Pelodiscus sinensis: one gene and its partners. The protein of the gene in region 1 purifies or fractionates together with the protein of each later gene. This does not show direct contact. Links are inferred from orthologs where the notes say so. Each region holds a gene or a part of one and is shown in the gene's direction. Other genes may lie near its edges.

Region 1 (7,662 bases):
GGGGAGGTGCTGGGAGAATGCTTGAAAGAAGGGGTGGGCATGAGGAAGGAGCAAGTCATGTGAGAGGATACAGAGGGGCATGAGGGGAATGGGGGCAGAGGATGGTGAGGGGGTGGGCATAAGGGAAAAGGAGGTGGGGGCAGTGAGGGAAGGGGGAGGCACCAGGAAGGTGCAGGGCTAAGGGAAGGTGCAGGTGCCAGAGGATTCTGGGTGTGAAGCAGAAGGGCAGACACCTGCAGGGGAGAGACCAGCACCAGAGGAGAGATGCAGGGCGGGTTTGTAGAGGGAGGTGTTAGAAGAGAGGATGAAGAGGGATAGCTCACATGATCAGAGTGGGGCTATTGGAGGAGTGGGCACAGGGAGGAGAGAAGGGCTGGTGGAGGGGGGTAGATCGCAGGAGGGCTGAGGGCAGTGAGAAGGGCAGGAGTCAGGACAGCAGAGGAGGGTGAGGAGTTGGGAGGCAGCAGGCACCAAGGGAGCTGATGGAACAAGGAGAGGAGACATGGCAGCAGAGAGAGACTGTAAAGGTTTAAAAATATTTATTAATAACTTGGGTGCCACAGTGGCACATCCAGACAAGCCACATGAACTCAGTACTGGTGCACAACACAATTCATTTTGCTCATGTGAGGAAACTTAGGCTATGTCTACACTGGCGGTTTCTTGTGCAAGAACATCTTGCGCAAGAGTTCTTGTGCAAGAACACGTCCACACTGCCATGTGCAAGCTGTGCTTTTGCACAAGAGCATCTATGGCAATGTGAACGCTCTCTTGCCCGAGAAAGTGCCGATGGCCATTTTAGCCACAGGGCTTTCTTGCACAAGAAATTCATGTTGCCTGTCTACACTGGCCTCTTGAGCAAGAACAGTTGCACAAAAGGTCTTATTCCTGAGTGGGAGCATCATAGTTCTTGTGCCAGAAGCCCTGATTTCATACATGAGAATGTCAGCGTACTTGCGCAAGAACACATGGCCAGTGTAGACAGGAAGCATGTTTTTGTGCAAGAGTGGCCACTTTGGCGCAACATCGCACCAGTGTGTAGACAGCCAAGGGGAGGGGGGCAGGGAATCAGTGCTGGCTCAGCATGTCTGCATGGTTTGGGGGAAGGTGCAGGGAAATTGAGCTCAGCTGGGTTGCAGAGTGGGGAGGTCCAGGAAGTTGGGCTGGGCTGCAGGGTGTGTGTGTGGCACGCTCAGAGCTCAGTTTGGCTGCAGGAGGATGGAGGTGCTGGGAACTGGGGCTAGACTCAAGTGGAGGGAGGGGCAGGGAATTGGTGCTTGGCTCAGCAGTTTTGCAGGGTTTGGGGGAGGTGCAGGGAAACAGGGCTCAGCAGTCCTGTGGGGGGAGGCATGCAGGGAACCAGTGCAGGGCTCAGCTGGGTTGAGGTGGATGGGGGAGGGCATACGGAACAGATGGGCAGCTCAGCTGGGCTGTGGGGGCTGCAGGGAACTGGTGCTGTGCTCCCTTGGATTGTGGGGGATGGTTTTGGGAGAGGTGCAGGGAACCAGCAGGGGTAGGCAGCTCAGTTGGGTTGCAGGGGATAGAGGTGCAAAGAAGCTTAGTGGGGAGGAGGGAGGGGCGGGAACCAGGAGCCCTGAAATGACCTCCCTGGTCCAAAAATCCCTCATCTGGGACCAGTCAGGTCCAGAGGGTGCCGGTTCAGAGAGATCCAATTCCTTCCCAAGTCCCCTCCTTGCACCCTCCCTCATAGCCAGACACCCTACCCCCAGTCTGCTCCTGCTTCCTCCCCCTGGTCAGACACCCTACATCCAGCCTGCTTCTGCACCCTACCTCCCACCCAGACCTTGCCCCCTTCTGCCCCCCCACCTCCCTCTCAGATCTTGCACCCCATCCCTATCCTGCTCCTTGGCAGCCCTGCCATCCACCCTAGCACCACCCTGTCCCTGGCCCCAACCCCCTGCCTCACACCCCAGGACTCAGCACCTCCCTGGCCCCAGCACCCTGCCATCCACGCTAGCACCCAGTAGCACCCTGCCAGTCACCCTAGTGCCCAGCAGAACCATGTCCCTGACTCCCGCCACCTGCCTGCCCCAGCACCCCGTCACCTGAGCCAGCATCCTTCCACCCAGCAGCACCCTTTCCCCAGCCCCAGCACCCACTTTCACTCTGTCCCCTGCTCCCACCAGCACATTTGGGACCACATTAGTGAGGCTTGGGGGTCTTTGGAGGGTTGTTGGGTTTTTAAAAATGAAGGCTGGCCAACAAACCCCCAATTGGGGCCAAATCCCCATCTCACTGCAGCATCATAACACTCCTGCACCACCTGACCCCAAATCTGAGCCTATCATACACTGGAACCCCCGGGCCTGAGCCTCTTACATCCCCAAACTCCTGCAGCCCCACATCCTTAGTCTTCTGCCACCACACTCCTGCACCATCACACATGGCAAATCTGTGTCCTGAGTCCCTCACATATCCAGCCCAAACCCCAGCACCCCCACATCCATAAGCCCATGGCTCACTCAGCACCCCAACCTTCCACCTGAACCCAACACTCCTGAGCCTGGAGCCCCCTCTCCGAGCCAACATCCCCTTCTCCTGCATCCAAATTCCCTCCCAGAGCTTGTACTTCTCACCCCTTCCCACACCCAAATCCCTCATTCCCACCCCAGACCTCTTGTCTCAACCTAGTGAGTGTGTAAGGGCTGGGGATGGCAAGTGATGGAGAGGAGGGGAACAAAGCAGATGAGGCCTCAAGGAACGGGGGTGGAGGTCTTGAGGAAGGAAATGTGATTTGCATGCATTTGGTGGGTCCCTTTTGCCACCCCTTTTTTTTTTTTTTCTTGACTAACCTAGGGGTTCCTTGAAATTCTGAAAAGGGTTCCTTGGCCAAATACAATTGGGAAACACTGCCCTAGTTGATAGAACTTTGCTTCACTCTAGTCTGCTCATTAGTAGGAGGGCATGTACCAGCTGGGTGGGTGCTTTTGGTAAAGGCTCCTAATGCATGTTTTTTCACCCCCCCTCTCCCCCCCCAGGTGGCCCAGCAGCAATGAGACCTTGGCTTGGTACTGTTGACTTCTCAACCAAGCTGAAATTATCCCTCTGCCTGATGTTCCTGAGAGGGTGCTGTTCCCCTTGGCGGACGTTGCTGCACAGGCCTCCCTGTGGGAGAGGAAACTCTGTGGCGCCAGCCTGCACCAGCTAGGAGCGTGCCAGGGCAAGAGGGGACATGACGGACTCTGTACATAGTGACTGGAGGCCACAGAGCCACGTCCTGTTACACAGAATCCTGGCTGCACTGCTCGCTGCTTCAGCCTGGAGTTCCATGTTTTGTTTTAATCTTATTTTGAGTTTGTTTACTGAGATGAGTGTACAGATGAGACCAAGCAAAAGCCAGGACAGAGACACAGCTACCTCCATCAAGATCGTTTTTAATACAAAAACTGACTGGACTTGTCCACTAATAAAACAGCTGAAAAGACCGGAAAAAATCTTGATAAAACTGAAAAATAAAGGTTTCCTTGTATTTTATTCTGCTGTCTGCAGTTAGCTGTGCCAAGTAACAGGGAGAGGAAATACTAGAGGATAAGTAAGCATGTCTGCTGGAAAGGCAGAAATGGTAGCACTATGGTAAGGCCTATCCTTTCGCATAAGCTTTGGCTTTGTGGAGCACTGAAGAGAAGTTATCCAATCCTTGCATGGGTGATGAGCTGCTACCTCCTCTCTAGTGGAGGTCTGTTCAACCTGAGCACTAGTTCAGGTCAATAAGCTGCCTGATTTTTTTTTTTTTGACTTATCAGCTGGTGGTAAGAAGCTATTCATACAGCTCAGCATTGGTAATGTCTAAACTGCAGTTAAAAACCTGTTGCTCTCCTAGGTTAGCAGATTCAGGCTAAGCCTGTTTCATTGCACTGTGGAGGGTTTGGCTGCTCTAGGAGGTAGGGAGGGAAGAGAGTGCCAAAGCTTAGCTTCCACACCACTGCAGCCTCAGTCAGGTGTCTCAGTGCAGTGTAGAACTGTCCAAAATGCCAGCAAGAAAATTGGCACAGAAAGCCTTGCACCTACATCCCTCTCTGGTTATTTTCATCCTAGTGTGTAAGAAACCGGGTGTAAGTCACATGCTGTTGTCAGTATAGGCCTAGCCAGCATCACCTTGGCTCTGTTTCTAACGTGGCTACATTTTTAGGTTAACTCCTTATCTTTCCAATGTGGGAACGGAAGGGGCTGTGTGCTGTGAGCTAGCTAAGGGCTACTTTGTGTGCACTCAGAGCAGCTGCGCGGCCAAACCGTGTGTGTGGCAGACACGCCTGCTACTCCTCCATTACACTTAAGGGGAGGAGCAGGCGCGAGTATCCACAGGCCGCTGTCATTGACTTTAGCGCTGCAGCCTGGGGAAAGCTGAGGGCTGCCTTTAAGCGAGCTTGTGCCATGATCGAACAGCGGGGGGGGGGGGCCCTGCCCGCCGGCCTGGTCTGTATCGCCCTGGGGCAGCTGTAAGCGCCGCTGCTGCGCTGCGTGGGGCTAAGCACAGCGCCTCCCCGCCGCTGCAGGGCCCGGGGCGCGCGCTAGTGCCCGGCCGAGCCCCTCTGGAACGGCTCGCGCTCGCCTCGGCCCCAAGCTGGACGGGCGGGGGGCCGCCGCCAGGGGCAGCGCGCGGGGCGGTGCGAAGAGCGGGAGGCAGGAGGCAGGAGGGGCGGTGCCTGGCCAATCGCAGCGCGGGGGGGGCTGAGCCTGCGCACTGCGAGGCGGAGCTGTCCCCGGAAGGAGCTGTCGGCGCGCACGTGGGGCCGGAAGGTAGGTGGCGGGCCGCGGCCTGGAGCCGGGCGGGTGAAGGCGGCAGCGGCGGCAGGAAGGGCGCGAGGCGCGGGCTGCGGGGGGGCGCTGCTAAGGGGGTCCCGGGGGGGCGAGCGGCGGTCTCAGAAACGCGCCGGGGGGGGGGGGGTAGGTCTCTGCCCCCTTCAGCGGGCTCGTTTGCCGCCTCCCTCCAGTCTCCCCGCACTGAAAAGCGGCTTCCCGGCCAAGTCCGAGCCAGGGTGCCCGCGTGTGGAGGGTGTTAAATGGTGAGAACTGGCGAGGCGAATAGCCCGTCCCTTTTGCACCGACCATTTGATTAGTCGATAGGGCGCCTTGGCCTTTGAAGTGTGGGGCTGTTGCTACCCGCAGAGGCAAAAGCCCCATGGGGAACACGGGGTCAACTGGGAACTTCCCCTCTTTGAAAATGCCACCTGCAGATTCGGGACATCCCAGCTGGCCGTGGGCTACATGCAGCGTTTCAAAGCAGCAGCGCTGTGTGGACCCCTGGGTCTGGCCCCAGGCTACAAGTGGTACTGCTGCTTTGAAGTACCCTCTTCTTCCCCTGCCCCTTCCTGCCTCTATCTGATAGAAGCAGCAAGGGGTGAGATGGGGGACGTGACTAGTCAACTATCCAAAATAAGCATTTGCTTATTGGATAGTCAACTAGTCCTTCACATCCCTATTTGTCATTGTATCATCTAGCGTTAAAATGGGAATGTAACATTGATACTTGTATGTCTGTGTACAGTCCATAAAGAAGTATAAATAAATAACTGTGGATTCTTAATTTATACTGACTTCACTAGTGATTTTATGTAGCCTGTTGTAAAACTAGGCAAATACCTAGATGAATTGAAGTATCCCCCAGGGAGAAACATAGCCCTGGTTGACAACCATTGTGTTAGACACAGAGGCAGGCAGGCTGAAGAATTGCTGCCCTAAAGCAGTAGTGGGGAACCCTTTGGGTTAGAGACCACTGAACCACAGAGACATCTGTCAGAGGCTGCACAAAAGTGAGAAACAAGGGGAAAAAACCACCTCATTGACATGGCCCCCAACTGAAAAGCAGAAAGACACTCTCCACATTCTGGGGCTAGTAGATTTTGAGGACTTCCCAGGCTCTGGGGTGGGGCCAAAAATGGGTTCAATGTGTGGGAAGCAGGCTTGGGATATGCTGTTTAGACAGGAGGGATGGTGTAGGAGTGGACTGGGGATTGATGCGACTGGGAAGGTGGTAGGGTGTAAGAATGGGCTGGGTGAGAAAGTGAGGTGCAGGAGCAGAGAGGAGTATGAGGTCTGGGCAGAAGATGGGGTGGGGTTCTGGGAAGGAGGTAGGGTGCAAGAGCGAAATAGGGTTGGAAGGGCTTGGCGATGGGTTCGCTTACTTACTGCAGCTCCCTGGGGATGCACATAGGGATGCGCCCGCTCCCTGCTGTTCCTATTGGCCACAGTTACGGCCAATCAGCCTGGTGGGGAAGAAGCCTTCAGTCAGTGCCTTGCTGCGCTGCCACTTCCTCCTTCCCCTCCCCTGCCCATCAGATAGAGTCTGTGGTTCAAATCCAGCCCTGGCTTGTCTGACTGCAACCCGTGAGGCTAAGCGCTCCCTCCACACAGGAGAAGCCGATGCTGGCACTCCAGCCCCATGGGGAGACCACTGGGCAGCCACAGGGCTGGAGCACAGATGCCAGCTCCCCAGTGCTGGCAGGGACCTTTGAGCCTCAGGAGCTGAATCAAGGCAAGCTGGGGGCCAGATCTAGCTCCCAGGCCTAACCCTACCCCTGCCTAAAGGAATCACCCCCTAGTTTGCAATGTGTGTGGAAGGAAGGTCTGTTCTGTTTGTTTTCCTCATTCTTCTTCCATTACTTACCCCACAGGGTGAACATGGGGCGCAAACTTGATGTACTGAGGAAGGAGAAACGTGGCCCGGGGCGCAAAGCCCGCAAACAGAAGGGAGCAGAGGTAGAATTAGCCAAATTTCTTCCCCCAAGTAAGTGTGTTTGTTTCTTTACCATTTTCTGCACTTCTCTCTCTACCCCCCACCTACATATACAATCACACCTGGATGGGCTCCTAAATAGGGACCTCATCCTGTTCTTTGTCCTTCTGGTACCAGTTCCTTGATTTTGTGTCATCTTTGTTTCTAGCTACTGATAGCAGTGGAAAAAAATTATCCAGCCATGCACGAAAAAGGTGAGTGTACAAGTACACCAGTGAATTCTGCTCTAAAGAGGATAAAATTCAGGACACTAGTTGCAATCTGGCAGGTCCAAGTCAGAGGGAGTTGTTAGGCTTTCTGGTGTAAAAGGGTTTATCAGTTCATTTATTCTTGTGTTCGTTTTTTCCATGTGTTTTCAGGGCTGCAAAGAGGCGAATGGGATCAGGAAAAGCCCAAGCAAGGAGGAATCTGCTTCAGCTAAAAAAGGCAACAGATGAGGGGGAGATGGATGGCACCAGCCTGGGTGTGTGTTTAACAAGTTGACTGCTCATTATTTCCCTAGTGGAAGAGTTCTGGTTGGTCTACGCTTTTTGCTCTAATTCTTCTCGGAGTGTTTTAATACCATTCTCCTCACTTTCATCCCCAGCTGTGAGCAGAGTAGGAGTCTGGCATAGCTTGTGTCCTATCAAAGAATGGACCTCTCTTTCTGCTTCCCTCACCTGACATCCAGCGTACTGTGGGCATCCTAGCTAGGGCTTCCAACGCATGCGTTGCACAGGACTAAGAAGGGACTTGGCTCAAATTAAATTTGTAAAACCTAAATGTTTAAAATTGCGTCTCTTCAGTAATCCTGGCCACTGGGACAGTATCAGACTCTTTTCTGCTTTCTATCCTGATTCTCCATAGTATACAGCTTCCAATGCAGCGGTCGCCATCCTGGACCTCAGGATGCACAATAACCTGGGCTC
Region 2 (7,992 bases), on another chromosome or scaffold:
AGGTGGGACAGGGAGGGTGAGGCTGCTGCATTCCCTGAGATTCGCCCTTCCCCACCCCAGCATGGACAAGGAGCCGCCACCCCCAGGACGGGCTGGGACAGCAGGATGCCCAGGCGCCCGCTTTCGGTCCTGGCCTTGCTGCCAGCAGGGGGCGAGCTGCACTGGGCCAGGGTCTTGGCACAGCTGAGGCCTCTGGGATGACTGAGTCCCTCCCCCAGCCGGCACTGCAGGACGGGGCTAGAGCAGGCACTGGGATCCCAGCGCCCGGGACGGGAGTGACGACTCCTCCCTCCCCCGCACAGCCAGAGACTGGAGCACGTGGCAGGGGAGAGTGACTGGCCGTGCTCCAGGCTGGCAGCGCCAGCTGGTCCCTCCCCCACTTCCTGGGAGCTGGGGGGGAGTCTCTGGCAGGACACGGGTGGGTGCCTCCCTGGCCTGGAGGGGCTTGCCTTGGGCTGGGCTATCCCCAGGGCCTCAAAGAGCTCCGGGTGCTTGACGGGCAGCTCGATCACTTCCTTGATCTCCTTGATCTGCTTGTCCAGGCCGCCAATCATCTCGTAGGTGGAGTCCGGGACCTTCTCGACCATCATCAGGGACACCAGCGGGTCCACTTTGTTGGGCAGGATTTTGTGCAGGGTGTAGCTGTCGTTCCTCAGCGCCACGCGGCAGTTGGGGGTCACCTGTGGAGACGAGGGGCAGGAACTTGCCGCACGGCCCCACTCGCCTCAGCACCGGCGGGGGGGAGCCGCCTGCTGGGCCCCAGCCTGGCGCGGCGCCAGCAGCAGCTGTTCCGAAGGAGCCTCGCCCTCTGCTGTCCCCGGCCGGCCCGTGAGGACGGGCACGAGGGGAGGCAGCTGCTGCCAAGCCGGCCCAGCCCCGGGTTCACCGAGGGGCCTGGTACTCACGTCATTGATGTCAATGTTTTTATCAACATCCACCACAAACTTCCCTTCCGGGTGAACCTGGAACAGAGAGCAGAGAGCTGTGGGGTGGGGCCGGAGCAGCGCCCGCCCCCTGCCCAGCCCCTGCCCACCGCCGAGGCCGCGCAGGAGAGCCAAGGCCTGGGGGTTGCTCAGTAGCTGGTGGGGCTCTCTGCAGCCAGGGCTAGGGCCTGGGGCAGTTCCCCAGAACGGGCCTCTGCAGCCCCCTGGAGGTTCCCAGGCCCAGGGACTGAGGGTCTCCAGGACAGCAAGGCACAGCCTGTGCGGGGCTCCCCAGGTGTTGGGGGAAGGGGTGAGCTCAGCGAGGCCCCGAGGGCTTGGAGAAGGGCTGCTCCTACTCAAGCTTTTCCTAACACCCGCCCCGGGAGGGGAGCCCTCGGCTGAGCAGGACAAGACCAGTCACCTTGCCCTTGGCTTCACCCCTCTCCTGCCCAGGGAGGGAGCCTGCACCAGGCACCACAGCCCTTCCCCCGGCGCTGGCGCCTCCGAGCTGCCCCACAGATCTACAGGGGAGTGACCCCAGAGCAGCCAGGCAAGGCAGCACTGCCCTGAAGGCCTGCGCCTGGCCACCTGCCCCACAAGGCCAGGCCTTGGCCCCGCCCCGAGCAGCAGGCCCCAGCACCGTACCTTGACAAGCACCTTCTTCTTGTCCATGGCCCTCACCACCTCGCCCACGTAGGAGCCCTGCTCCTGCAGCAGCTGCAGCTCCTCCCGCAGCAGGCGCACTGCAGCACAAGGAGGAGTCAGCCATGGCCCGGCCAGGCCACGCGGGGCAAAGCCACAGCAGCCCTTGTGGGGCTCCGACCAGGACCCACGCGGACAGTGGCTGGGCCCCAGAGTCAGCGCCGGCTTCCTTCCCTGCCAGGCCCTGGTGTGGGGAAGGGGACCCGGCTTCCCCCGGGTACAAGTGAAGAGGCTAAAACCGGCAGGAACTCAAGAAATCCCCCAGTGGGGGTTTGAACAATTCACCCTCCCGCTGGCCACCCCTCACCAGCTCCCTTCCCACCCAGCCGGGCTCCTAGGGAGGGGACTTGGCTTCCTCGTTTTCAGCGCACCAGTTCAGGGGAGCCAAGTGCAGGAAAGGTGAACAGCCAGGAGGGAAGGACTGGGGGAGGGGGAGGCAGCCGTCCAGCCGCTGAGAGGGGAGGACTGGGGGGAGCCACTCACGGGGCCCACGGCCGAGGCAGGCGCCCAGCAGCCAGGAGGGAAGGACTGGGGGAGGGGGAGGCAGCCGTCCAGCCGCTGAGAGGGGAAGACTGGGGGGAGCCACTCACGGGGCCCACGGCCGAGGCAGGCGCCCAGCAACCAGGAGGGAAGGACTGGGGGGAGGGGGAGCCGAGCGCGGGGCCCCCAGCAGGCGGGGAGGGCAGCACGAGCCCTACCTTTGGCGTTCAGCTCGTTCCTTTGCGCTTGCAAGCGCCGGAGGTTCTGGCTCTTCTCGTTCACAATGAGCTTTGGGGAGAGGAGAAAGGTTGAGCCCCCAGCTCAGGGGCGGCTGGCTGCCGAGCACGGGCTAATCGCCAGTGACTGCGTGGGCTCCTCCCTGGGAAAGCCAGGCCACAGCTCCGCCGCCTGCCCATTGCGCCCAGGCTGCTCCCTAGCGCCTCCAGCAGGAAGCGCTGGGGAAAGCAGCCCAGCACCAGAAGGGGCAGCGAACAGCTTCCCCTCCCCCCTTCCAAGGGTCACTTGTCCCTGCCGCAGGCGCTGGGGTACCACCCGCAACCCTGACGCCTGGACAAGAGGCCTCTGCCACGGCAAACCACTGCCACGACCCCCTCGCCCGCCTGTTACCAGACTCTGCTCTGCTCTGAGGAGTGGATCTGCTGGCTCTGGAGACGCCGCCCTAGGAGGGCCCTGCATCTGCCTGCCAATCCCTGGATCCCAGCCTGCCCCTCCTGCCGGGAGCCCCGAGACTCCAGCCCCCGACGGGCAATGCTCCGAGAAGGCAGCTGGCTCCCGTGGAAGCCGTCTGGGATGGCCCCCCGCCGCAAACCAAAGGGCAGAGCCTCAGCCCGGCAGCCTCCACCCGCCACTTAGCACAAATGGCGCCCGGCCCAGGCCCCAGCCCTGTGGCCCAGAAGCCCCATATGTGCCGCGTGGGGCTGGCATCTCACCTGCAGCTCCTCTATCTTGGACAGATAGTACTGGCGGAGGCCTGTCCCCCCTTTGCCTTCGTCCATCTCCATCTGCAGAGACAGCACAGGTCAGGCCCTGCCCCAGGAGAGGCTGGGCTGGGCCGCGACAGTCCGAGGAGGGCGCTGTTCCAGGTCTGTGCTGGCTGGCAGCGGGAACCCAGAGCCCCCACGTCCCGGCTGGAGCTCAGGGTCTGCACAGGCTTGATCTGAGGCGAAGGCAGCCCCAGGCTGCCCAGAGAGCCTCGGCCGGAGCCCGGGGCGGTGCTGGCTCACAGGACAGGCCCTTGGCTCCACCGGCTCCTTCTGCAGAAACCGGGCCTGGAGCTGCCAGAGAGACGCCAGGCTCCAAGGAGAGCCAGCGCCACGGGGCCCGTTCGCTTCTGCGGACCCCCCAGTCTCCGGGGGCCCAGCGGCTCGGCTCGCAGGCAAGGGGCCGGGCGCGAGAGCCTGAGGCCGGCGCAGCGCTGGGAAAGGCCCAGGCAGGAGACTCTGGGGAGCCTGGGTCAGGGTGGGGCCCCCGCCCCGGGGCCAAAGGAGGGAGAGGCAGCCCCGTGCCTGGGGAGCAGAACTGCCATCCAGGGCAGCCCCCCAAGGGGGCGGGGCCCATTGCGGGGGGGGGGGGGGGAGCCCTTTGGCTCTGCAGCAGCATCTGCAGCAACGGAGCCCTCTGTCCCTCCCCCAGCCCGGACCTCCCACCCAGCCCCCCACTGCCCTCCCCCCTCCTCTACCCTCCCCCCGCCCAGCCCCCCACTGCCCTCCCCCCGCCTCTACCCTCCCCCCGCCCAGCCCCCCACTGCCCTCCCCCCTCCTCTACCCTCCCCCCGCCCAGCCCCCCACTGCCCTCCCCCCGCCTCTACCCTCCCCCCGCCCAGCCCCCCACTGCCCTCCCCCCTCCTCTACCCTCCCCCTGCCCAGCCCCCCACTGCCCTCCCCCCTCCTCTACCCTCCCCCCGCCCAGCCCCCCACTGCCCTCCCCCCTCCTCTACCCTCCCCCCGCCCAGCCCCCCACTGCCCTCCCCCCTCCTCTACCCTCCCCCCGCCCAGCCCCCCACTGCCCTCCCCCCGCTTCTACCCTCCCCCCGCCCAGCCCCCCACTGCCCTCCCCCCGCTTCTACCCTCCCCCCGCCCAGCCCCCCACTGCCCTCCCCCCTCCTCTACCCTCCCCCCGCCCAGCCCCCCACTGCCCTCCCCCCTCCTCTACCCTCCCCCCGCCCAGCCCCCCACTGCCCTCCCCCCTCCTCTACCCTCCCCCCGCCCAGCCCCCCACTGCCCTCCCCCCGCTTCTACCCTCCCCCCGCCCAGCCCCCCACTGCCCTCCCCCCTCCTCTACCCTCCCCCCGCCCAGCCCCCCACTGCCCTCCCCCCTCCTCTACCCTCCCCCCGCCCAGCCCCCCACTGCCCTCCCCCCGCTTCTACCCTCCCCCCGCCCAGCCCCCCACTGCCCTCCCCCCTCCTCTACCCTCCCCCCGCCCAGCCCCCCACTGCCCTCCCCCCTCCTCTATCCTCCCCCCGCCCAACCCCCCACCCCGCCCCCCCGCGGCCCTGCCTGACTCAGCAGACCCCGGCCCAGGGGACCCCCCCGCTCCCCGCGCCGCCCCCCCTCGCGGGTCTCGCCTGCTCCGGCCCGTCCAGCGCCATCTTCTCCGCCGGCATCGGAGCAGCACCGGGATCTGGGGGCCGCGCACTGCGCAGGCGCATATGGGCAAACGTCGCGCTCTGCCCACAACCAAGATGGCCGCCGCCGCTACCCTTTCCCGGTAGGAGCGCGCTGTCGTCATTTCCTTTCTGCGGCTGCATGGCCGGTCCCAATAACACGTCACTGGCAGCAGTGCGCACGCGTGGTGACAAGGCCGCGGGTCAGGTGGCCGCCATCTTGGTAGGGTCTGTAGGGCGAGAACGCTCCCCCGCCCCGCCTGGACGCCACTCACAAGATGGTGGCGCGGTCCGGTCGCACCGGAAGTGGAAGTCAGTGTGAGCGCGGGGCAGTGTGGGGGGCCGTTGGCTCGAGCGCGTGCGAGGGACCCAGCAGCCGGGTCTGGGAGCCAGGGGCCCGTTTCGGGCGCGGGGGGGCAGGTAGGAGCGGTTGGGGGGGCGAGGGTGGGAGTGGGGGGAGGGTACATGGGGGGGCAGGACGGAGGTACGAGGGGGGGCGGCGGGGATAGATGGGGGCGGGGCGAGAGGGCGGCGGGGGGGAGGGGGTAGATGGGGGCGGGGCGAGAGGGGGCGGCGGGGGGGGAGGGGGTAGATGGGGGCGGGGCGAGAGGGCGGCGGGGGGAGGGGGTAGATGGGGGCGGGGCGAGAGGGGGCGGCGGGGGGGGAGGGGGTAGATGGGGGCGGGGCGAGAGGGGGCGGCGGGGGGGAGGGGGTAGATGGGGGCGGGGCGAGAGGGGGGGGAGGGGGTAGATGGGGGCGGGGCGAGAGGGGGCGGTGGGGGGGACTGGAGTAGGGCGGGGCTGCCCGAGGCCCCCGGCTGGTTCCGCGGGGCCGTTGGGGCCTGGGCCTGGCCCCCCCGACCGGGTGACTCGAGGCGCCGCCGCTTCCCTTCCGTGCAGAGGTCGCCGCCTGCGCGGAGCGCGGGGCCCGGCCCCGAGGAGCGAGCGGAGCCGCCGGGCTCCTCCGGCCCCGCCATGGGCAAGAAGGGCAAAGTGGGGAAGAGCCGCCGGGACAAGTTCTACCGCCTGGCCAAGGAGACCGGTGAGCGGGGCGGGCGGCGAGTTCGGGAGGCGGCTGTGCCCACCAGCCCCCACATCCTGCCTCTGCGGGGCCGTGACCCCCAGCAGGGCCGGGCTGTTCTCCCCATCGCCGCTCAGTCTGCCTGTCTCCTCGTGCCTGCCCTGCTGCAACTGCTGAGGAGCGGGTGATGGGCACCCAGGGGTCTCAGCCCCTCTCGCCTCCTCCCCCCATTGCTCTGGCCGGGTGCCGGAGCCACTGCCAGCTTCCCCAGGGCAGGGGCTGGCGCCAGTTGAAGGTAGAGAGGTGGGTGAGCATGGACAGGGACAGCTGGGCCCACCCAGACACCGTAAAGCTGTGACCCTTCCTCTCTTTAGGGTTTCGCTCACGATCCTCCTTCAAGCTGATTCAGCTCAATCGCAAGTTCCAGTTCCTGCCGAAATCCCGCGCGCTGCTGGACTTGTGCGCAGCCCCCGGCGGCTGGTGAGTGACCAGCCACGACTGCATCATCAGAACCCAGCAGTTACCTCTGGGTGCCAGAGGCAGGAACACCCTGCCTGGCTTGATGCAGCTCCAGCCTGCTCGCTTGCACCCGGCTAGCTGGGCCCTGGGGAGGGCCAGAGCCCCTGGCCAGTGAGGTCAGATTGCGTCCTGGGCTCCGTCGGCAGCTAGCCGACTGCCTCTGGGGCAAGTGAGCTGGTGGCCGCATCCCCATGGCTTTGGGACAGGGACAGGCGCTGTCCAACAGCTGCCTCCTCCCAGGGCTGGCGAACAGGCTGCTGCCGCCAGGGACCAACTTGCTGTATGTGCTGGACTCCAAGGAGGCCTGTGCTGCCCCGCCCCGCCCCAAGCCCTGGGTACTGCTCTGTAGCGGGCGGCTTCGAAAGCCAGCAGCTGCTGGTGAGAGGGGTGCTAGTCCTGGAGCTGCTGCTGGTGTATCGCCCGCCTGTAGGCTGCAGCCCCAGGGAGCAGCCCCAGTCTAACTCCTCCATACAAGGCCTCAGCCAGGAAAGATGAGGGCAGAGCCTCCATCCCCACGGCTCAGCCCGTCTCGGACCAGCCTGGGGCAGGGTGATTCCAAGGGTGAGTGCCAGGAAGTGGCTCTGGAGCCCAGCGTGGCCTGGCTTTCTCCCATCAGCCCCCTGGAGGCTGCGACAAGGGAGGGCGTTGTGGGGCAGGGAGGGGGTGAGGTGGGGAGCTAAGGCCTTTCTCCTCTCCGCAGGCTGCAGGTGGCCTCCAAGTTCATGCCCGTTTCCAGCCTCATCGTTGGTGAGTGATGGAAGCCTGCGGGGGGGCAGGCCGGGACTCCGCGGGGCTGGGCCTGTGAGACAGGACAGTTGCTGTGGGGCTGGTTGGTTGGACACTGTCCCTCGGGGGGGGATGCCCCCATGGGGAGGGGGTCCAGCAGATGCTCAGTCTTTCTCTCCTAGGGGTGGATTTGGTCCCCATTAAGCCCATCCCCAACGTGGTGACGCTGCAGGAGGACATCACCACGGAGAAGTGTCGCCAGGTAATTCCTGCCCTGCCCCCCACGCCTGCTAAACCCCGACAGCCAGGTGCTCTGGTGCATCTCCCTCGGCCCTGCCTGGGGGAAGGGCGCATCATGTCCACCCACCCTCCAGGCCACCTCCCCCGACTCCACGGAGGGTACGAAACTTGGGGGCGTCTCACTGCTCGGTTCTGGGCTGTGGATTCTAGAGGCAGGGAGCCTGGGTCTCAGTGGAGAGGCCTGGCTGGGGGGAGGGGCTGCAGGCTCGCTACACACCCTCCCCCCGCTGCGGGGCACGTGAGGGGGGCTGGCAGGCAGAGAGGGCGTCCCAGGCTCACCCCCTGCCCTTGCCCAGGCCCTGCGCAAGGAGCTGCAGACGTGGAAGGTGGACGTGGTGCTAAATGACGGGGCTCCCAACGTGGGGGCCAGCTGGGTGCACGACGCCTACTCCCAAGGTACGTCCCTTGCTCTGCTGGCAGCCCGGCCCCTGCGATGGCCGAGGACTCTTGCCCATCCCACGCCCCTGGTGCCGCGCAGGCAGAGTCCAGCTCCACAGTCCTGTGTTCCATTATCCCTGGCCTCCGGGGCAGCAGCACTGGGTCCGCGGGGTCAGCCCACTCCGAGGGATCGGGGCCCTGGCATGGCTCACCCGCTCGGGGCACAGTGGCAGGTGGAGGGTCGGAAACCCCAGGGGAGGGAAAGGAGCACGACCTGCTGCACAGAGGGCGTCTCTGGGGGGTTGTCTCAGCAGACCCAG
Region 3 (7,290 bases), on another chromosome or scaffold:
GGTCCCCCCACTCACCTGATTCACACAGACACATTGCTGGTTATTCCCTTTGTTAGGGAGCAAGGGGAAAGTGCAGTTGCTGCATTCCTCACTCTCACTCTCCATCAGAAGCAGCAACACAGGGTGCCAGGCAGATGCCAGTCCACAAGGGGAACCAGTTTAAAACCAGCTCCCCACATAGATGGGCTACTTGTGCCCCACGTTGCTGCCTTTGATGGAGAGTGAAGAATGCAGAAAACTATGCACTTTCTCCTTGTTCCCTGACAAAGGGAACAGCCAGCAATGTTCCGGGTGGGGATCTTCAGTCCCCTACCCTCCTTTAAGGATGCTGGGGGAAAAAAGGAGTAGAGAGGTGGAATGCCCCCAGCCAGCCCATTTCACCTGCCTGGTGTGTTTCTTTTTTCTGTACAGTTTTATGAGACGCAATCCCATTTCGGGCACATTCCATTTTCCTGACACAATGGGGGAAAAAAAAAAAAAAAAAAGAACTTACCCTGGTTTAAGTTAGCTATTAACTGAATTTGGCGATCCTAGCTCTCACTGTGCAGGAGGAAAGTGATAGAAATGTAGCCGTGTTAGTCTGGGGTAGCTGAAGCAAAATGCAGGACAATGTAGCACTTTAAAGACTAACAAGATGGTTTATTAGCTGATGAGCTTTCGTGGGCCAGACCCACTTCCTCAGATCAAATAGTGGAAGAAAGTAGTCACAACCAGTTCTTGAATAAACAGACTGACACACAGACTCACTCTCTTATATAGTAGAGAAAAGACGTGAAAAGTCTTATGGAAAAAAATTCCTCAGGTTACAGTGGCCAGGTGGAGAGCATGGTCAAGGAGAGGGGATGTGCTTCACACAACCTTGTATGGGGGTCTGACAGCGTCCCTGCCCCTTTGCAGCCTTAGGGGGTGAGCACTTGGGGCGGATGCCGCCTTGCGGCTGTGACGACAGCGCCCGATCCGTTCACGCCCCCAGACACGAGCCACTTACTGTCCTGAAATCCAGCTCCCTGGTGCACCCCCTGCAGCAGCGTCAAGATCTCCCGCGCCGTCTGCTCCAGGGTCTGAACCACCTTCCTGATCTCCTGCAAGCCGACAACACGTCAGGACACGAGGGGGGGGAAGGGACTCCCCCCGCCCCCCCCTCCCGCGCGTGCCTCGGAGCCCCCCAAGCCCCACCGGCCCCGCCCCGCCCCCCGCGTGCCTCGGAGCCCCCCAAGCCCCACCGGCCCCGCCCCGCCCGCGCCGGGCCCTGACCTCTCGGATGTCCTGGTCGGCGGTGAGGACCCCCTGCAGGGTGATGAACATCTCACTGACCGACATGGTGCGCTGCCGGGCCGGGCACGCGGGGCGCCGCCGCCCAGGGGCTGGGCCGCTCGCGACGCCGCTTCCCAACCGCCGCTCGGGGACCTTCCAACGCTCTCGGCGCAAGCTCTATGGCCGCGCGCGCGCACGCTGAGGCGGCTCCGGGGCCCTTCCACCTGCCCGGCGCACGGTAGCCCCCACCTCGTGCCTGTTCCCGCGACATCACCTCGGAAACCTGCCGCACTCAGCGCTGCCGCTGCCGCTGCCACCCACCGCCGGGCTTCCCCATGCCGGGCCGGGACCCCTGCTTCGGAGCTGGGGCTTCCACGGTGCGAGCGCAAGGGTGCCCTACTCGCTGCCTGGGCCGCCGCGCAGGGGTCCTTCTACACTCCCGGCGCAGAGCTGCCTCATTCACTTCCTGGCGCGCACGCCGCGGGAAACAAACCTTGGCCGCAGGCCGCGGGGGGGAGGGGGGGGCGCGCTTGACTGTGCGCAGGCGCAGTCCCTACTCCAGGCGATGCCCGGGAAAGCGGGGCCAGAACGGCTGCTTGGGACGAGTAACCCCTCCCCCACACCTGCCTGTGGGCTGGCATCGCCCCCCCCCAGGGTCTGCCCCCCCCCCCCCGCAGAGGTCCCATCAGCTCCTGGGAGAGAGAGACACACACACACAGCCCGTGGGGTCTCTCCCCCCCATGCCACACACAGCTGCTCAGAGACTCTGTTTGGAGGGGCGTGTTTCTGAAATCCTCCCCCTCCCCCGTGTGAGGGTGGGGCAGACAGAAGCCACGGGGATGGCTGACAAGTCTAGTTTCAGTGGATTTCTCCTCACCTCCCACTGCTAGACTGGGGAGGGGCAGAAAGATCATAGGACCTTTCTTCTTTGCCCCCTACTCAGGGTTGGGAGGCCAGCAACTTCTGGGTACTCTCTCCAATGTGCGCAGAAGTCGGGGAGCAGCATAGGACCTACTCGTATATGCCACAACCCACATCATTTTTTTACAGAACAAATTATGATTTATGTTACTATAGTGCTGAAGAGTTCTAGGCATGGACTACCCACATGTACTAGGTGCGGTACAAACCACAGTTTATGCCGAAGGCCCTTAAGAACAAGCCAGGCAACTCATGGATGAGACAGAAGGTGGACTATAAGTAAATTGGATGAAACTGGTCAGCATGATTAGCACATCAGCATCTGACAGTTGTCCGTAGTTTTGTAGGCATCAGGCAAAGAAAAGTTTTATTGAAGAAATTTGGTTATGGGCCTCCTTCTGTCCCCATTTAAGTCTATATGGGTATGACCCAGATCTTAAGACATATTTTACTCCTGGGGGAATACTGCAGAGCTGCTGGCTGCCACTGCAGGTCCCTGGACTCTAGAGCCCAGCTCTCCACCTTTCATCCGGTGAGGAGGGAGGCTCTGCACTCTGGCTACCCAGCTTGATCCTCATCCACCCAGGGATGGTGTTACCCCAGACAGAGTTCTCAAAGCTCTTGGTAACTTTACTTTGTGTGAGTTGGTGTAAAAAAATATAAATCAGTGGAGACCCAGCCACCAGTCCAATAAAGGGCTGGCACAAACAGTATTATACAAACATGCTCTAAGTAAAAGCTATACTTCATTTAATCTCAAGCATTTTAGACATCTGCAACAAGTTAGCAAAATAGCCTCAGTAATTATTGAAATTTGGTGTGGTACAGTTGCAGCCATCCAACTAGTCCATCTTTAAGCTGTCCTTGAGGGCTCTAAACTGAGTCCATGAATTGATCCCAAAGAGACCAAACCTCTCCCTCTTTATTTCACTTTGTGAGTAAACAAATTACTATCAATTTAAAAACTTGTTAAGCAAGCAGTTTCAAAAGCTAAGCAAGAGGTTTCCTGAAATTACTAATTAGCCAGAGGTATTCCTGCAGGGTTTGCATGCCCTGAGATGCTGACAGTCACATCTCAGAAGGGAAATAGATAAGCTTCTTATTTGTCTCCTAAAATATAGACCCCATCATGTTCAACTGACACTTCATCAAGAAGAGACACAGAATCAGGCAAAGGTATGCTGAGCAAGATGTTTAGTCCTCCTGGCTTAAATCTTGCTAAGTCTGCACAGCCCTGCAAAACAAACAAACAAAAAAAAACCCAAGTTTGGTTGCTGTTAGCAACAAGTATGATATTATACTATTGGTAGCAGTCTCTGACCTTTTACTGGTCTTTCAAAATCTCCCCATACAATGGGATAGGCCTGGGGATAGAGGGCTTCATTGCATCCCTTAGCAGGACTGTAGAGCCGTGGGAATAAAGGCTCTGAAGGGAGGTTCACTAGAGCTGGGGGAGGAGAAGCAGGTACCTTGACCAGGAGAGGGAAGAACACAGCCACCTCCAGCCTCCCCCCAATTGGAAGTGGGTTGTCACCCAGAGTTTCACTCTCTGCTCTTGGAGGAAAGTTTGTTGCTGCCTCTAATGTGACATACTTGTTCGTAGGTATTTTGAACAAAATAATGTAAACTGGAGTATTATAGCATGTTATTGTGACCAAATCTGCACAATTTTAAAACGTGCCCAGGATTGTTCATTTGAGGGGGCAGCATTCTCCTGGGAGCAGGCACCAAACTGGCTTGAGGTGCTGGTCTCTGGGGGCTTCTCTTGTCCTGCTCTGGGGCCTCCTTTGCAGACACTAGTTCCCTGGCACCCTGGCTCTCCAGGGAACAGCCCTCCCAGGGGCTTGCCTGGCTCCTGCCCAGCTCCATTCATGCCCCGGGTCCCGCACTTCCTCTCGGACCGCACCGAAACCAGGCCCCCGGGGAGGGGGACCCGGCTGTCTGGCCTGTGGCGGGGGGGGGGGGGGGGAGCGGCAGTGGCAGCTGTCCCAGCAGGCAAGCTCTGTCCGCCAGAGGTCGCTGTGGCCCTACGTCTGGGCCTGGCCGCTGAGCGGGCGGAAGCTGGCTGGGGGGAGAAGACACTTCCCGTGGCAGGGACCCGGAAGCGGAAGTGACGGGACCGCGCTCCCGGCGTGGGGGTAGGGTGAGCGCGCGGCATGGCGGCAGCGGGGTCCTCGGCCGCGCTCCCGCTCCTCTCTCTGGACCCGCAGCAGCAGCGCGAGTTCCAGGACAAGGTGCTGCGCGTCCGCGCCGGCCGGGCCGCCAAGGTGAGAGCCCGGGTCCCGCCTGCGGGGGGGCGGGGCTGCCGGCCGCGGAGCGCCCCCAACACGCGCGGGCCCCGATGGGCTCGTGGTGGGACTGAGAGACTCGCGCCCCGGGGGGGGGCCGCTCCCAGCTCGGAGGAAGGGCTTGGCGCGCGCCAGGGGGTCTTGGAGAGGACTCCGACCGGGAGGGGAGGGGAGCGGGGGGTGCTGGGTCCGGGACAAGGCTGTGACACGGGGCAGGAGTGCGGGGCTTTGGATTGGCATCTGGGGAAGGGGGTCGGGTTGCAGCGTCTGCCATAGGGATATAAAAGGTTAACTGGTTACCAGGGAAACATTAGCCTTCCCAGCATGCTTCCCTGATAACTGTAGGGCCGGGCCTGCCTGGAGCAAGTCCTCCCCTTCCTGAGCACAGCAGGGCTCACTGAAGCAAGCCTCCCTGCCTGCAGGACCCCAGGACTCCATGGTTAACTGGTTAAACATATTGTTTAACCAGTTAACTTTTTCATGGGTGTAGGAATGGGTGTGCAGGGGGTTTGAGTTATAACCTGGGGCATGGGCGCGGAAAGGGGAGCATTGGGTTGGGGTGCCACATGCAGGCTCTGGCCAGGAAGTGCTTACCTAAGCACAGCAAGTCCCTCAGGCAGGCTCCCTGCCTTCTACTCCCTTATATGCCGCTCGAAGTTGCTGGTCATGGGGGGCCATGTGCTTCTCTGACAGCCATGGGGAGGGGGGATATTTAACATGCTGCCTGCACTGTGGACATGGCTTATGCACTTCCCATTGGGTGGTTTATAGCCAATAGGAGCTGTGAGATTGTGCTGTGGGCAGAAGCAGCATGCAAAGCCTGTTCCCCTTCACCACCCCTCTCCCAGCTCCTGGCACTCAGAAGCACATGCCCCCTGCGACCAGCTGCTTTGAGTGGCATGTAGAGGTGGGGCAGGCAGGGAGCCTTCCCGTGGCTCCTACTGGACTGCAGGCAGGTTCCAGTGGCTTGGTGGATCAGATGCAGCCCACAGGCTGTAATTTGTCCACCCTTGAACTAGAAGTTACTGTACTGATTCCAAATTGGTGGTCTTTTGGCTCTTTGTGTTTAAGGTGGTAAATGCGCGTGAATATTCCTGTTTTTTTAATGTTACCCATTCTTTTCATATTCACAGCATGAGAAGCTGACTCCTGGTGTAATTTATTTAGGGCACATCCCTAGGGGCCTTTTTGAGCCACAACTCCAGGAGTACTTCAGCCAGTTTGGAACAGTCACCAGACTTCGAATTTCAAGAAGTAAAAAGGTAAGAATCTTAACTGATTGGAATTGTCTGGCTTCCTAATTGCAGTTATTGCTGACTTTTGCCTCCTCCCCTATTCTCCTATTTACTTACTTTCCCAATTAGAAGTAACTATTGGCCAGAGGTTATTGGTATACTGGTGGTCTCAGTTTTATTTTTTTATTACACTTTCCCTAAACTTAGTTCACGGGCCTGTTATTCCACATTGAGATGTAGGAAATAGTGGTCAAACTGAACTATGTTTTCTCCTAAATTCTTTTTGTCTCTCTATTGGTATGGATAACACCACCGTCGTCATAATTTTTGAGTCTCTGACCCTTGGATTAATCATTGGGACACCCTCTCAGTCCTTAATCTCACTCCTCCCCACATTGCTAGGGTGTTACCAAGTTCTGCAACTTGCACAACATTTCTAAAATCCAATTATTTGCTATCTCAAAGGCTAAAACACTTTTCTGTGTCTCTTTCTCCAATACTGATTGCTGCAACCTTCTCTCTGGCCTTCTTTGCCTTCAGTCCATCCAAAACCTGGTCTTTAAAGATCAGCTGCAATTTATACCAGGGTAAGAGAGAGCCTGAAAGAGTCCTGCTCTTGTGTTCCAATCATCTATTCTGGAAATGATGATAGACTCTCAGAACACACACAATTGTTTGCTCTACAGGAATTCAGGATCCTCACCCCAATTCCAAATCCTAAAGCCATTAATTGGTTTCACAAACTTTACCATCTGAGAAGCAGACTTTTACTTGGATGTTTATAATAAATGTCTTGTTCTAGAGGCTGATAAAACTTTGGTCGTAGTCTTTAAAACCTTTCAGTTACTGGTTTGAATCCAGATCTGGTAGTTAAGATAACTGTTTTTTGAAGTCCATAATTGACTTATAAGTAACAAGTTATTAGTTTTGTCCATTTTGTAGTGTAGAAATATCACTTAGGGTGGAATCCCTGTTGACAGTATCAAAAGAGGGAAAAATAACTGGCCATTTTATGCTATGGCAAAAGGTGCTTATTCCAGAAAAGGATTGAGACAAATAGGTGCTGTGAGGAAATTTCCCCTACTTCTGTAGATAAACAGAGGCCCCACTCTACTACTCTTAATCTAGTCCCTTTCATCAGAACTAAACATACATAAATGAGAAATTTTATCAGAGTAGTCTAAATCCAGTGTAGAATTCTGAATGAATATAACAGGAGGGACAGTGCATTTTGTGTGTCACAGACTAAGTCTGCCCTAAGACATACATGTGTAATGCTTACCTAGTTTACTGTGAATTGTATATTATAATCTGAGAACAGAATATGACCCTTGCAGCCTGAAAAAACAATCTAGTGTAATTCTTAGACATTATGTGTAAACATAATCTAGATTTCTGATACCATTGTCATTCGCAGACTGGAAACAGCAAAGGCTATGGATTTGTAGAGTTTGAATCAGATGAAGTCGCTAAGATTGTAGCAGATACCATGAACAACTACCTATTCTGTGAAAGACTCCTAAAGTGTGAGTATATGGGACACTGGTGAGCTAGGGAAATATGGACATGTGAACGTATTGTTTCCTGGGAAG
Region 4 (7,343 bases), about 110 Mb from region 1:
CCCGAACGAGGAAGTTTGCCAGACTAGGGGAGGTCAATGATTGCCCCCTTGCAACCTGCCTACCTGGCCCCTGACCCCGGCACAACTTCTAGTCCCACTGATACTGGCTCAGCAGGGCTCCCTGTCCCGGCAGGGCTCCTTGCCACCAGTCCCTCTGCTGCTGGGTTCTGGCTGGCCTCACAGCTGCCAGCTCCCTGCCACTGGCTTGGCAGGGCTCCTAACTACAGTAAACTTCCGATAATCCGGCACCTTTAGGACCTAGGGGGTGCCAGATTATCAGATATGCCGGACTATCAGAAGGGGGGGCTATGAGGGGTCTGGGGTGGGGTGGGCGGATGCTACCTCAGACCCCCTCATAGCCCTCCCTTCTGATAGTCCGGCTCTGCCCCAGGAGTCCCCGATTCAGCTGCTGCTGGTCAGTTTCAGCAGCGGCTGAATCTGGGGCGCCTGCAGCAGAGCAGCTGGGGTGCTGCTGGGTTGGTCAGGTAGCGCCGACCCTTGGCGCAGTGAGACCAACCCGTCAGCACCCCAGCTGCTCTTGGGGTCGCCTGGGGCAGAGCAGCTGTGGTGCTGACGGCTTGGTCCCGCAGCGCTGCTTCTCGGCGCTACTGGACCAACCCAGCAGCACCCCAGCTGCTCTGCCCCAGGTGTCCCCAAGTCAGCCGCTGCTGATACTGATCAGCGGCTGACTCCAGAAAGCCAGAGGCAGAGCTGCTCTGCCCCGGGCTTTCTGGAGTCAGCCCTGGTCAGTTTCAGCAGCGGCTGAATCAGGACGCCTGGGGCAGAGCAGCTGGAAGGCTGCTGGGTTGGTCCCACAGCACCGAGGAGCGGCGCTACTGGACCAACCCAGCAGCACCCCAGTTGCTCTGCCCCAGGTGTCCCCAAGTCAGCTGCTGCTGAAACTGACCAGCGGCTGATTCCAGTAAGCTGGGGCAGAGCAGCTCTGTCTCGGGCTTCCTGGAGTCAGCCGCTGGTCAATTTCAGCAGCGGCTGAATCCGGGACAGCTGGGGTGCTGCTGGGTTGGTCCCGCAGCCCCGAGGGGCAGCGCTACTGGACCTACCCGGCAGCACTCCAGCTGTTCTGTCCCCTGCTTCCCGGATTCAGTGCTGATCAGTTTTAGCACCGGCTGAATCGGGGAAGCTGGGGGCAGAGCAGCTCCAATGGTCCGGCTGCCCGGAGCACTTCCGGGTTCCTGATGGTGCCGGACCATCAGATGCCGGACCATTGGAGTTTTACTGTACTGGCCTCACTGCCACCAGCCCAGACCCCTCACTGCCACTGGCCCCTTGCCCCTGGACTCCCAGCTGCCAGGGCTCCCTGGTCCAGAAACATCCGTGGTCCTACCGGATCATGTATGATGATGCTGGACAGATTCCCGATTTGGAGAGGTTCAACATGTATGCAATTGGCAGCTGCAGTGATGACCCTCTGCCCACCCTCAAAAAGCAAATGCTGTATAGTACAGTACTGTGTTAAGCATAAACTACTAAAAAAAAGGGGGGAGGGAGTTAAAAAAATATTTGACAGGGAAAAAACTCTTTCTGTGCTCGATTTATTTAAACTACATTGTTCAAAAGCAGGATTTTTCTTCTGCATAGTAAAGTTTCAAAGTTGTATTGAGTCAATGTTCAGTGGTAAACTTTTGAAAGAACTACTATAATGTTTTGTTCAGAGTTACGAACATTTTAGAGTTACAAAAAACTTGCACTCCTGAGGTGTTTGTAATTCTGAGATTCTGTTATAGTGTTAGGTAGATGGAAGATTTTTTCCAGCCACCTAGCTATAGCCTTAGGAAGCCACCTTACACTGATGGGAGAACTCCTTTCTTTGGCATGAGTAATGTCTATACTGGAGTGCTACAGCGATGCAGCTGCAGCACATCAAATGTAGACAAGCCCAAAGTAAATTCCAGGTGGAGCGATTTTGATGGCTTTGACCAGCTACATCTAAGTATACTAGAATCGTATGTGTTGTCTCAGGTAGGTTATTCTGTGGCATGCAGGAGGAGCAGGGATGGGGCACTTTTGGAGGAGGGGGTGGAAAGTGTGTGGGAAGGAAACTGTGGATACTCACTGCCACCAGCCCAGAAAGGTTATTATTAAGCCAGAAAGAGGCTTATTAGGCCTCTGTGCATCAACACAGCTTAGACGAACACGATCTCTACTACTTGAGCTAAGAGTGATAGAAGTAGTCAGCTGTTGTCCTCCATGTGGAACAGCCACTAGAGGGGATTGAGAGACATTCTTTGCCAGTGGATTTTGCTTTTGTTTGATGATAGCAGAAGGATGTAGAGACATAGGACTTTTGGGTTCAATTCCAGGTTCTGTAGGGAATGGTAGTCTAATAGTACTAGATCCTTCTGCCCCTGCTTTCTACCTCCTTATCCTCAGGCTGACTTTGTCCCTCCTACCCCAGCTCCTGTCCCTGTCCCTATTGGCTCCTCTCCACCCTCTCACACCTTGTCTTCTGCCCTCCTCCATCTGTGCTTCTCTGTATCTCCTACACAGGTTCTAGTTTTTGTGCTTCTTTGGTCCTGTGTATTGCAGGTTCTGCTTTCCTTCCCGCTCTTTGCCCCCTTCACCCTGCTACTGCCCTTCATTACTTCTATCCAACTTTATGCCTCAGCTCTTCCCCTTCTTTTGCTGCATGTGACTGTTGCTCCTCCCAATTCTTCTCTCCCCTCTGTTGCCTGCAGCTCCTTCTCCTATGCTGCTTTCCACTTTGCATTTGCTCAGGTTGTTTCCTCCTTCTTACTGCCTGGAGACATCAGTGGTACATTGCGGGTGCATTTCATTTCTTATCATCTCTACCTTAGCAGCTGGGAAAGGTAATACAGGTCGGACCTCCCTGGTCTGTCACCCTCAGGACCTGCTCCCCTGTTGGCTGCCCCACTCCTGGGCTCCTGTCCTTGGGAATCCATGCCCTGCTGCTGGCTCCCTGAACACTGGTTATGCACGACTTCCTCCCCCTCCCACGCTGCCTGCCTGCTACCCCGGGGTCTGCCTGGCTTCTGATAGCTCTGCTGATGCGGGGTGTTCCCTGAGGTTTCCGGCTGGGGCCACCTGGTCACTGCTGGCCCTGCTTTTGGAGGCGGTTCCCCAGCCAGGCCACCCAGCTGCCCTGCCCCTCTGCTGCTGGGGATTCTGGCTACCTGCCTCCACCAGGTCCACTTCAGCCAGGCCCTGTTGGACCATGGATGTTGCCGGATCAAAGAATCCTGGAGTTGGGAGGTTCAACCTGTAGTTGGGAAAATTGTGCTCAATCCCTGAAACCCCACGATGAGTGTGCTCAATGTAGACATGGACTCTGGAAAATTTAGCTACCAAATTCTAATAGTTTTCTGTTGCGCATGTGTAAACTAAACCTTTTTGGAGGTTTATAAATTCGCCAAATTTGTGCAATTTGGGGAAAGTAAAATGACACGTCTCCATCAGCAGAGTGACTCCAACCCCCACCTTACTGCCTCTTACATTTCAAGACCTTGCTCCAAAAGCCTGGAAATGCTAGAGCTTCTCAATGAGATGGTTGTAAGATTTCTTTTTAACATGGGAAAAACATACTTTTCCTTAAAGTTAATGGCTGAACTTTTTTTCAGCTGAAAAATAAATGCAGCACCCTGAGGCATATCTCCGGAATGGGAAATTTGAGCCTGAATACTTAAAGTTTAGTAATGTTGTAAGCAATTGAAAATAGGGTCTTAGAATGGGAAGTGTCAGACAACATTAAATAGATTTAGTGCATCCAGCTCTGCTATAATATGATTTTAAAATTATAATCAGTCAACTTTATTATGTTAGTATCCTTTGGTTTTCATCTGAAACATTTAAGTAACAGAGCTTCTGGCTACATGATAATCTTAATTTATTTTTTAAAACCATCCATGTGTATTTGGTTTTGAGATCTCATGATATAGAAGTCGCAGTTGGTATGAGGCTATTTCTTTCTCTCCTCCCTTCTCCTCCTGTAACAGTAGTCTAGCAGTAAAATTGATCTGGCTCTCAATATTTCTGTTCTAGATGTCATTGTTAGGCCATTTCTCTTAGGACAAGTATTATGTATCAGCCCTGCTCTGTTAATGGGTTTTGCTGATCATTGGTTGTGAGCATTAGAAGGGGCAATTAAGGTATTAGGAATAAAAAATTGAAGGCAAATTTAAATGTTGGCATTCAAAGTATATTTGAAAGAGTACTGGTAATATCAGTTTAAGAAATTCAGACATTTGTATAGCCTGTCTGTGATTTCTGATCCATATACTAAAGTAGTGATTTAACACTTCATTCTTTGTGACAAAAATAATTCAAAGAGCCATATTTTTCAGGGCTTTTTAAAATGAAGGTTCTGAAGGGTAGTAAATACATTTAGGTAGCAAAGCTGCAAATAATTTACTCCCCAAACTATTTGTTTGATTTTTCTTAGAAGCTGGAATTTGTGCAGTGGTTTGTAAATTGTTATGATAAGAATCATCTAGTAAATATGTTAGCTCAACCTCAAAAGAGGAACCACCCCTCTGCTTAAAAGAAATGGTACTTCCTGCTTTCATAAACAGTCATGTGCATAGTTTAGCAAGGCCTGATGCCTCTGGAGCTTTTCCCTTTAGAGCACGGTTGAATCAGTCCTTACAGAAGTACTGTAATCTTGTGGCTTCATTCGGAACAAAAGGGATTAGGAAAAAAAATTATTTGATAATAAGACTTTGGAAAACAAGGGCAGGCAATCTTGGTTGTGAATATTTTTTGATTTTTCCAGAAATCAAGCAGAAGATTGAGCTGCTGATGTCAGTTAACTCTGAGAAGTCGTCCTCTTCAGAAAGGTACAGCTACATCTCTTGCTCGAAGAATTAATGGTGTGGCATTGTAAAGCAGCAGCATAGGGCATTTTTTCTTATCTGTTTGCTAATATTGTTGATGTATTGCATGCTGGTTATTGTAATGTATTGAATGACTCTGTTTTTGGCTAAGGTTTGTGTCTTTGCAAAGGGTTATTTATTTTTGTTTTTACTGAAGTCTAAACAGCAGCATGCAAATCGTAATACAGCAGACTACTGGTTTATGTATATTGTTGTTGCAGGCTGTGTTCTATTTTTTTGTTTTCACCCCAAAAGCATCTTGACTTCTAAATTCAGTTTCAAAAATTAGATTTTTTGTTTTGTATTAGAGGAAATAATTTTACTGTTACCAAGGTTGCTGTTAGATTTAGATTAGTAGAAAGTATCAGTGTGCTAAGCATTAAATATTCTGTTATGTTGAAAGGGAGTGTCCTTTCCAAATAGCTTAGGAATTGCAAACACACAAATTAGTCACATTCTGTAAAATAGATGTGATGCTTCTTCAAGTCTGTGCTAGGAAATAGAACAGTCACTGCATGCAGTAATAATGGTTCATGCCTGCAGGTAAGGACAAAATGACTCAGAAGTGTTTTTAGAACAATTATTTCATATGTCAATCAAATTATTATAAATAGTTGTTTGATTTTAAATAGATATTTTAAAACCTTATTTTTTATTTTTGACATTCAGATTTTTTATATGCAAATAGTTCTCTTAATGACTATTTCGGTGCTTTTAATAATCAAACCTGTTCACTTCTCTTTTTCTTGAGATTTTATTTTAATAGAAACTTGTGTTCAGAAAATTATTTAATCCGCGGACAACGCAAGATCAATTCAAATTAAAACATTATTTGAATTTAATCATTTAATGTGTGTAGCAGAACAGCTGAATATTATATACTTTGGAAATGAGTTACTAGAATTATAATTAGTAATATAATACACCTAAACAGGCCTTTTTTTAGCTGAAATGATATTACCTAAAATATAGATGAATGATGTTTGAACATAATAAAAATAATGGCAGTGCACTGGAAATTCAAGTTAAAAGAAGATAGGCTAAAATGAGAGAATGCTGTGAGGAGTGCATGGCTTTAAAAACAATACAAGCAGTTTAATTGGATTTATAAGTATAATGAGGGAAGACATGATTCTAAACCATGATATTGCTTTTCACTAGCTATAGCATGACAAAATATCAGAGCAATGAGAGAGATACAGAAAATGGTGGGGGGAGTGGGTTGTTAAGTCACCTTTCCAAAATGGAGAAATGTAAGAAAAGCTTTGGGTTGTTTTTGCACACATAAATTGAAAGTCATGAAAAAGGCTTAAGGATGTATAAGATGTTTTGTTTATCCATTCTCATGGATCTCAAAATTACATAGACTATAAATGTTAGGCCAAATAAATGGTGGTAATGATAGGAGAGAGGAGGATGATGGGGTGAAAGTAGTACAGGAAACAGGTGTTAACTGTGATTTTTTTTTTTAAGGCTTCTGTGAAGGGTACCCTGATGAAGTAGTGAATCCAGTTATATTTTAGCAGCTCAAATGCTATGGCAAAACTAGTGACTAATCGGAAGCTATTGTTGAACAAAATGTGATAAAATACAATACGATCTCTGGGAAGAAACAGTTGGCTAGTGGACATGGACCTGTCTTCCTAAAGTATTGCTATACATCATTAGAAAAGGAGGCAAGGATTTTAAAGATGCATTTTATGCTTACGAACCATTAACAATGCCCTTGATTAAAAAAATAAATTGCAAGTACATAGTCCATAAAGTTGCCTCATGGTTTTCAGTATTTTGAAGGGAAAAGGTAAATCTAAAAAGATCAAGAGATAAAAAACTGGATATTGTGTATGCACTATAAACTTTTTTACAATATTCATAGAGATTTTTGTGCATTGTGAGAATACTATTTTAGTGATTTGAGTTGCCATACATTAGTTACATAATTTATAGGGTCAGAAATCAGCAAATAAAGACTTTCACAAAGTCTGTCAGAGATGATTTTTCATTCTCTCTGTGAAATAACTACTTCTTTCCCTCAAATATAAAAATACATTCACTATATAGCAGGAAGCAATATTAAGTATCCTATTAACTTTCAGATCCTTCCATGACCTTCAAAAATTACAGTATTAAAAGCTGTTGGTGAAAGAAATCTGTATTGTCAAATAATGACATTAAACCATAAAAGAAATAGCATTCAAAGCGTACATGAAATTATCCTTAACTGTTGTGCACAGTCAGCATATATGGTATATAAAGAATGTTTATATCCAAACTTAATGTTTGGGCACACATTTATTCTTGCGTTGTGTTTTGTTTCCATTTTCATTTATGAATATGGGACTTCTCTGGTACTTTGAGTTCCCTGGTGGAAGATCTAAATTATAGTCTCTGATTTGGTCTCATGTTTTCCAGGCCAGGAGCAATAATAGAGGATGCTGGTCAGTTGTACCCTTAAGGGAAGAGAGGGAGAGAGGCTAGGATTTGTGTATTAACACA

Evidence for each region.
Region 2: the proteins of NOP2 (region 1) and FTSJ3 fractionate together in Homo sapiens (co-fractionation; 3 studies listed by BioGRID and IntAct, with this or other methods). This does not show direct contact. The link is inferred for Pelodiscus sinensis from reciprocal best matches to the Homo sapiens genes NOP2 and FTSJ3.
Region 3: the proteins of NOP2 (region 1) and NIFK fractionate together in Homo sapiens (co-fractionation; 3 studies listed by BioGRID, with this or other methods). This does not show direct contact. The link is inferred for Pelodiscus sinensis from reciprocal best matches to the Homo sapiens genes NOP2 and NIFK.
Region 4: the proteins of NOP2 (region 1) and SRPK2 purify together in Homo sapiens (affinity purification with mass spectrometry; 3 studies listed by BioGRID and IntAct, with this or other methods). This does not show direct contact. The link is inferred for Pelodiscus sinensis from reciprocal best matches to the Homo sapiens genes NOP2 and SRPK2.

What each region holds. Positions count from the first base shown.
Region 1 is NC_134711.1:138,758,507-138,766,168, forward strand, and holds the start of NOP2 (28S rRNA (cytosine(4447)-C(5))-methyltransferase), read left to right. Parts: upstream 1-4,647; 5' UTR 4,648-4,758; intron 4,759-4,870; exon of another isoform or gene 4,871-5,024; intron 5,025-6,632; 5' UTR 6,633-6,639; coding exon 6,640-6,745; intron 6,746-6,902; coding exon 6,903-6,948; intron 6,949-7,113; coding exon 7,114-7,217; intron 7,218-7,662. Other genes in the region: CHD4 (chromodomain-helicase-DNA-binding protein 4), read left to right, coding at 3,000-3,017. UniProt on the Homo sapiens protein: S-adenosyl-L-methionine-dependent methyltransferase that specifically methylates the C(5) position of cytosine 4447 in 28S rRNA. Required for efficient rRNA processing and 60S ribosomal subunit biogenesis.
Region 2 is NW_027466048.1:919,295-927,286, forward strand, and holds the start of FTSJ3 (pre-rRNA 2'-O-ribose RNA methyltransferase FTSJ3), read left to right. Parts: upstream 1-4,990; 5' UTR 4,991-5,149; intron 5,150-5,628; 5' UTR 5,629-5,703; coding exon 5,704-5,770; intron 5,771-6,123; coding exon 6,124-6,229; intron 6,230-6,968; coding exon 6,969-7,015; intron 7,016-7,176; coding exon 7,177-7,256; intron 7,257-7,590; coding exon 7,591-7,690; intron 7,691-7,992. Other genes in the region: PSMC5 (26S proteasome regulatory subunit 8), read right to left, coding at 450-680, 906-962, 1,569-1,666, 2,324-2,393, 3,056-3,127, 4,691-4,774.
Region 3 is NC_134717.1:8,136,304-8,143,593, reverse strand, and holds the start of NIFK (MKI67 FHA domain-interacting nucleolar phosphoprotein), read left to right. Parts: upstream 1-4,279; 5' UTR 4,280-4,331; coding exon 4,332-4,442; intron 4,443-5,596; coding exon 5,597-5,725; intron 5,726-7,115; coding exon 7,116-7,224; intron 7,225-7,290. Other genes in the region: TSN (translin), read right to left, coding at 989-1,082, 1,255-1,320.
Region 4 is NC_134711.1:25,325,907-25,333,249, reverse strand, and holds the start of SRPK2 (SRSF protein kinase 2), read left to right. Parts: upstream 1-4,333; 5' UTR 4,334-4,521; coding exon 4,522-4,811; intron 4,812-7,343. UniProt on the Homo sapiens protein: Serine/arginine-rich protein-specific kinase which specifically phosphorylates its substrates at serine residues located in regions rich in arginine/serine dipeptides, known as RS domains and is involved in the phosphorylation of SR splicing factors and the regulation of splicing.